2 linked regions of the Nothobranchius furzeri genome follow. The main gene of each other region encodes a partner of the protein of the gene in region 2 in a complex. Links are inferred from orthologs where the notes say so. Each region holds a gene or a part of one and is shown on either strand. Other genes may lie near its edges. The genes, in order: dpm3 and dpm1.

Evidence for each region.
Region 1: dpm1 (region 2) and dpm3 share a complex: the UniProt entries of both Homo sapiens proteins name them as parts of the dolichol-phosphate mannose (DPM) synthase complex. The link is inferred for Nothobranchius furzeri from reciprocal best matches to the Homo sapiens genes DPM1 and DPM3.

The regions. Positions count from the first base shown.
Region 1 is NC_091759.1:5,963,532-5,966,655, forward strand, and holds dpm3 (dolichol-phosphate mannosyltransferase subunit 3), read right to left. Parts: upstream 1,578-3,124; 5' UTR 1,520-1,577; intron 1,332-1,519; 5' UTR 1,310-1,331; coding exon 1,031-1,309; 3' UTR 685-1,030; downstream 1-684. UniProt on the Homo sapiens protein: Stabilizer subunit of the dolichol-phosphate mannose (DPM) synthase complex; tethers catalytic subunit DPM1 to the endoplasmic reticulum.
Region 2 is NC_091755.1:48,132,537-48,137,158, forward strand, and holds dpm1 (dolichol-phosphate mannosyltransferase subunit 1), read right to left. Parts: upstream 2,828-4,622; 5' UTR 2,710-2,827; coding exon 2,579-2,709; intron 1,861-2,578; coding exon 1,761-1,860; intron 1,595-1,760; coding exon 1,561-1,594; intron 1,487-1,560; coding exon 1,410-1,486; intron 1,239-1,409; coding exon 1,213-1,238; intron 1,068-1,212; coding exon 972-1,067; intron 883-971; coding exon 814-882; intron 725-813; coding exon 610-724; intron 498-609; coding exon 393-497; 3' UTR 81-392; downstream 1-80. UniProt on the Homo sapiens protein: Transfers mannose from GDP-mannose to dolichol monophosphate to form dolichol phosphate mannose (Dol-P-Man) which is the mannosyl donor in pathways leading to N-glycosylation, glycosyl phosphatidylinositol membrane anchoring, and O-mannosylation of proteins; catalytic subunit of the dolichol-phosphate mannose (DPM) synthase complex.

The sequences.
Region 1 (3,124 bases), on a different chromosome or scaffold from region 2:
CCTGGGACAAATACTTCTGCAGAAAAGAGCAAATCAGTTTTTTTTTAGTGGAGAATCAAAGAAACACTGAGAGTTTACTAAAAACTTTATGTGGCTGCAAGTGGGAACAGATCTGCTGTTGGTGTAATTGCCAAATTAGAAGATTTTCAAGTAAGTTGTGTTTCATCCTGTCTGCTCAAGCAACAGCTTGCACAGATTCAGTGGGTGGGTGTGTGTGGGGTGGGGGTGGGGGACATTGCGAGGCAAGATGGAGCTGCAGCCTAACAGGCAGAGTTGCCAACTCTTTTTGCATTTGTTCAGAAGTTATGAGATCGTTTGATGCCCCGTAATGATGCCTTTGGTGAAGCTATGCTTTGTTTACACACAGCAGGGACTTGGTGAAAAATACGCAAAGGCAGCCTTTTACAGCTCGTAAAAGAAATATAACTGCCAACATCGATTACTTCAGAGTTACATACGCAGATTTGATTTTTTAGAATCAAATGCATTTGGAGAAATATTACATGATGCATAGTTTGTGTCATAAACTTACAATTGGATAAAAAGAGGCCCGTCTTCTCCCAACAGGTTAAGCAGAATGCCAAGCCCAAAAGGGCTTTGTTCTGACCCGTTTGAAGAGGAAACCCTTTGTAAAGCCACAAAGGTGCTTCACAGACATACCTGAACCTCAAGAACAGGAATCCATTTAGAAAATAAATTCCCATTTAATTAATTTTTCTGAAACACCTCAAAGGCATTGAACAAAGGAATGTAAACGTCTTTACAGATTAAATCTGGATCCATCTGCAGGTACGGGCATTACATCTCCAGATGCACACGATGCAAACACATATCAGCTTGACTCAAAGCACGTGGGAAATCCCAAAGAGCCTCTGGATTAGATTTGTCAGGATTAAACTGGAAATGATGCGTCAACATAAGTGACACAGTTTCTTATCCACATTTTAGTGAAGATGGTTCAGTTTCATCCATCCAGCTGTGAAACACATGTCCTCACTACTCGGTCTCTACAGGGTTGAGTCTTTGTGTCCTACAACTTCAAGCCCTTTTTTCTGAGGTCTTCTTTAGCTTCCGTGATCTGCTCCTGGAGCTCTCGAGCTGCCTCGTCGCAGTCGTTGAAGGTGGCCACCCGGAATCCCACCGTGGCCAGGGAGTAGCAGCCGAACGTCACCAGCAGGTAGAGAGGCATCGGCCAGGCGATCTCCCGGTACACCCGCGGGAGGCTCAGCTCCAACAGGTCAAACGTAACCAAAGCCCAAACTGTCCCCAGCAGAGACGCCCCGAGCAACCACTGCATCAGTTTCGTCATGACGGAAGCTCTATGAAACGACCTGAGAGATAAAACTGTGTTAGCAACCTGTTAGCTTATCGAGCTAAAATACGCAGAAATAAACAAACGACAAGAAACGAAAATAAACCAAACACTCGTTGAAAAGACGCGAACGCAACTAAATAAAAGGGTAGTATATAAAGCATCTATTTAAATCACGTTAAAGACCAAATAAACATGAATGTTTACCTTCTTTCAAACACCACCTCAGCACTGCGCAGATTAATGACGTTGCAGTCCGCGATGCCTTGTGGGAAACGTAGTAGCAGGACTAGTGAAATGTTAAAGCAACTCAAAAGATGCTAAAAGCCGATTTATTTGACTCAAACAAACTTTGAATTATATTTATTGTATAACCTAAAAATAAAATAAGCAATTTTTTATAAGTTTTAAAGAAAATCTTTTATTCACTTGTTCATTTTATTTAGCCTAATCATTAATTTCCAATGCATTTATTTATATTAATCGTTTTATTAAACAGTGTTATTTTCCCTAAATGTATATAAATGATCTTGTTTTTATTTTTGAACTTTCAAAAGACACAAATTATTTTTTATTTTTCAATTAAAATAAGATAATTGAACTCTTTCACATTTGCAAAATTAGAATTTGCATTTTATGAAACTATTTTAAAAGTGTTATACATGGTTTCGTTCCATATTTGTTTTTGCAGTTAAAGGGACTACAGATGGATAATGGATTGAGCTAGATGGACCTGACAGTGTTATAACTTCTTCTCAAGATTAATGTAGGCCCCACACATTCCCTGCTTCATTAATTTGATTAGAAAATACAGCTTTTCATGTTTCTGTATGGTAGCTTTAAACGACTTTCAGTTGCACCATAGAAATTAAGTGATTTATGTTAATTGCACTTATTTATTCAGTTACTCAGTTTATGATGAACACATAAATAAACTCTCTTTGACTAGCTAATGACCCCCAGAGAGGAGTGATATGACAGCAGCCAGACTGATAATTATTTAAACTTCCCTATTGATCTTGCTGCTGTGTGCAGTTTTCACTAGCGTGATGAATTAAGACCAGTATTCAGTCAGCTGTGAGAAAGAGCACTGTTTGTAATTGGACTGAGTCTTTAATGAGCTTTCCCAGACAAGCTTTTAACACATATTAGACCTCTGACGCTTTTTCAGTATCCCTTTCATGATTTAGGAAAGCCATTTTCAAAATCAGATACCATTAGCAATCGCTAAAAGCTATTTATGTATTTTCCAAAGAGAGGAATTGAAAAACAGTTTAATTTAGGCACAAACGGGGGGCTCTTTGATCTTTGATCTCAGTCTCTGTGTTAGTTCTACATCACATGCCTTTTCATTTACGGCGGTGAACTGACCAGGTGCAGAGGGCACAGATTTCTCCAGGGTGGAATCAGGAGCAGGAGGAGATGTAAACAACACTGACCAAGCTGGTGAAAGGGGCACGCTAAGTAGCCACTCAGGAATAAACATCATTCTTCTGAGGGAAAATGGGAGTTATTCTTAGGATGGTGGTGTTTATGTTTGTCAGCATTAGTGTTAATAGTGTGAATGACAATCTGCACGGCTGCCAGTGGGGGTAGAGTGTGTTTCTTCTGTTGGAGACAGTGGAAACCAGTCTGCGAAAGCTCCTTAAACAGAACTCAACAATGACTTTTTAAGGAGCATTCATGAGAATGTTTGATCTTTTATTAAAATATTTTAAAGAAAATAGAATCCTGATTTGCAGTGAGTTATTGCACAGCAGTTGGTTGCAGCTTCAGCGCTGGATTGTGGTTGTTCTGTGTAGAGTTTACTTA
Region 2 (4,622 bases):
TTCTGTTTCTTAAGTCAAGAGTTCATTTAAATTCGCATACAATTTCCATTGGATCAATTAAAAATAAACAAACAAGAGTCTACAATTAAAACGTGTTTATTTTTATGCATTTGCAAACTGTAATAATAAAGAATTCCAGAAACATTCTGCGATGGGATTGACAAGACTTGGGAATCACCATTTCTTCAGCATTCTGAAAACTACAGAAAAGAACATCTTCCACAGTTTTAACTGCTAACACCTTCCTTCTCCTGTGTTGTCCTGTCACCGTATGATTACAGAAAGTGGTGAACGTCTCTCTCTTGTTTTTAATTTGGTGAAACTTCTGTTTTAAAGACAAACTTGTGGAACGAGGAAAAAAAAAAGCTCCCAGAAGCTCTGAACATCGCTGATCACGTCGTGGCGAAGAGTGTGAGCAGTCCTCTCACAAATGACACGATCTCATTCCCTCCCAGTTTTGACTCTCCATAAACCCGATCCACAAAGGAAATAGGAACCTGCGAACGACGAGGAGAAAATAAACCTTAGTTTAATTTCAGCGGAAACGTTGAGAAGAACTCATACAAAGTACAAATATTCAAAGAACCCAACAGCGTGGTAGGTCAACACCTCTCCAATTGTGTAGTTGAGCTGTCTGGCTCGGACGATCATCTCCATCTGGAACACGTAACCTTTAGACACACACCGCTCCACCAGACTCTCCAGCACATTTTTCTTGTATAACCTTCCAAAAGCGTAGGGAAAAAAGCACAAAAGTGAGGAAACGGTTCAGTTTTCTAGTCAATGACGATTCAAACCTCTTGCATCAGTTACCTGAAGCTGCCCGTGAGGTCCGAAGCGCCGGGTCTCAACAAAACCTGAGTCAAAAAGTTAGCACCTCGACTAAGACACAGGAGAGAAAAACAAATCTCGTTTTCATCGAGCGTAGGAGAGCGGACACTGGTGACCAAGTTCTGCTCACTGGCCGTTACCTGATGAGTTTCCTGCGCAGGTCCCAGCCGTAGACACCTCCATTGCCCTGATAGCGAGTACCAGACACAAGGTCATAACCACCTTCCTTCTGCTTTCTGTGAATGAAATACGATACTTTACCTAAAACATGCTAGAATAATCCGACTCGTCACACATGGATGAAAGTTACCCTGATAATCAGAAATGTTGCGAGTCTTTATAAACGCACCAACTCATAACATAAAAAACAATTATACTTACTCAATAAATTCAGGAATAAACTTGGGCTGAAATAAAATAAAGACGAATAAAATACACAGCAGTGCAACAAAATAAATAAATAAATAAATACTCAATTGGACTTTACTAGCCATTTGTGTTTTTCCAGACAAGATACTCAAAAGATGTCTTGTTTCTAAGATATTTTATACATCAAATACACTCGTGCATCGACTCACGTGATGGGAAAGATCTGCATCCATGATGATGATGAAGTTCCCAGTGGCATGCTTCATGCCATGGATGTAGGCTGTGCCTTTAAAACATGAAGGGATGATTACATCCACTGGTAATGTTTATAAAGGAAATGCAATAATTTTACCAACTTACCAAGGCCTAATTTTTTCTCCCTTGGTCGCAGAACCTGAAAAATTAGAAGGATTTAACAATTAATGACTGTTGATTATCACTGTAAAGTTTTGTGATAAAAAAAACAAACAAATTACTTTTTAATTATTTTACACAGTATATGTGGTGCAACTTTAATGTGAATTTATCTTGTTCATGCTGAGAGATCAGTCTTAACTTACTATTTTGTCCTTTCCGTAAATTTTCTGCAACTGCTCTGCAACCTCCAGTGTCCCATCTGGGCTTCCGTCATCAATGATAATAATCTCATAGTCATATCCACTGTGAGAAATAAGCATTACTATCATGCCGACAGAGATTACTGTAAATCAATCTTTAGACATATAAAAAACTATTTCACTTAAAATGACAAAAATTATTTTTCATTTATCAATTTATTAATTCATTTATTAAAAACATTAAATATTATTTCACAAACGTTTTAGGAATGTAATCACAAGAGATGAATCCGTTCAAGTTACCTTTTAAAGACGCAATTAACTGTTACACACACATATACATATATATACACATACATATATATGTAATATATATACACATACATATACATATATATATATATATGCATATATGCATATATATATACATGCATGCATGCATGTATATATATATATATATATATATATATATATATATATATATATATATATATATATATGTGTGTGTGTGTGTGTGTACAATTATTCTTTATATTTATTTCAGGATAAGTAAATCCAGGTCTTAGTTTTCACCTACATTTATAATGAAAGAAAAAATACTGGAAATCGTCGGTTTCTGCAGCATTATAAAACGAATAAAAACTCAGAACAAAATTTAAAATGCGTCTTAGAAGGCAACTACTAAATTAACAGTATAATCCAGATTTAATGTGTCTCTACTACCAAATCAGCGTCGATGACACAAGTGACAACTCATCGCTAGCAGACGCTAACAAGAGTTATCATTAGCCACGCATCTTTGCACGCTTAAAAAAACTCACCCTTCTCCGAAATATTTCAACAAAAGCCACACTATCAGAGGCAGGTTTTCTCTTTCGTTGTACGTGGGTAATAATACAGAGTATTTGTCCCGGCTCTCTCGCTTTGGTTGCGAAGATTTTCGACTAGCCATAGCAGACGCGAAAGCTCAAAATACTATAAGCTAGTTGAGAAGTTAAAAGAAGTGCTGTACAATTTCCTGTTGTCGTATTTCAAAATAAAGGTCAGTTTGAATTTCGTCCTGTCGGAAGACCCCCCCACCACCACCACCACCCACACACACACAACTTACATTGTCATTCTAGTTTTGCAAAAAGTAAGCAACTGTACTTGGCTCAGTGGTAATACTACATTTCAATATTTATATAATATATATATTTTAATAATGTCTAAATCAAGTAACTAGTTAACCAGAGGAATACTTGGGCTGTACAAATAAATTATTATAGATCAATGAAAAAGTGTTTTTCACTCATGTACTTGAACACTTTCTGGGTATGTGGAAGGACAGTATTCTTCGGGATTACGTTTGTCATAAAATGCGAACGTTTACGCTGAAATTAGTCTTGAACATCGCCTTGGCTTATTTGAACTTCCTGTTGTACTTTCCAAAATAAACACACCTAGAAACCAATTCCTCCATCATGGTTCCGACAACAGTTTTCAGCGCGGTCACTTACCTTGAAAACGTCTTTAAATAAATAAATAAACCATAAGAAATACACAGAAAAATGTAAACAACACAATAAATATAGTGATGTTCCAAAAGACTAACACACAACGAATTCATAAACATTTTATTTAAAAATACACAAAAACATTGGAGATAACGTGACATTTTTACTCTCAACACATATGCCAACACCAAGAAACCACAAAATTGTAAACAGAAATAACTACTTGGAATACATAGTAGATAGTATATAACAATAAAATGGATATGCCAAATAATAAATATAAACTATACAAAACAAAATTCTCACAGTATCATTTATACCATGGAATAAAAAGAACATTTTACACCATGGAATACACTTATTCTTTATCTTTGAGGCAGTTTAGGTTAAAATGCAAATAAAATTCATAAAAGACACAAAAGGCTTGACTTTTTCCTTAATACAGTGCATAAACATAACAAAGTATACATACACGATTTCAGTGCTAGATTGTTAAACAATAAGGTACTTTACTGATCCCTCTGGGAACAGCATTTTTGTTTTGATCAATACCAAAAGCTGTACTTAATACAAAAACATTTCTGGACTTAAAATCCTGTCTTTGGAGTTTTAAAACAAAAAGTACACAAACCAAGATTCCCCTTATGGTTGAACAGTTTTTAAGGTAAAGTTTCGGCATCATCCAAGGGTTAGTTCAAGATGATGAAGGTCTCCAGTGGTCACTTTTGCAGATGTAATCTCTGTTTAGTTCTGCTCTAAAGGACCACCAGTGTCTCATGGTGTCACTGCTGCCTGCTTGTTTTCTCCAGGGCTGGTGGCCATAATGTGGATCTTCTGGATAAGAACAGTACACACACGCGTGCGTGCATGCATGAAAACATTTACCAATACTAGAACTCAAGACTCTCCATATGGGAGAGGATTAGAGTCACTGAAAAGAAAAAAAGTCTTAGCATTCTGACTTTTTTCTCTAAAATCTGAATTTGATTAATAAAAAGACATAATTGTGAGATGAAAGTCACTTGGTTTGACTTACATCTTTTAAACTATTTAAATCAAACATCTTTATTTAATTTTTGATTAATGATTGGTCAAATTAAACGTCACTTAATTGTCAGAACTCTTAGAAAAGTCCGTTATGAGAAATAAGTCGTAATTCTCGCTCCCTCTTTTTTTCCTCTTCCATACTGTTCAGGTAAAAAGGAGAAAAATGACTTTCAAGCTCATAAACCAAAACCTGGCATCAGAAAAAGCCCCAAAACACCAAAAAGTAGATTCTTTCTTTGTCAGCTGAAGATCATCTGTGAATTTAAGGCTAAAACAACTGACTGTGTTTGTGATGTTTTACACAATAAGGCAAAAAGTGACC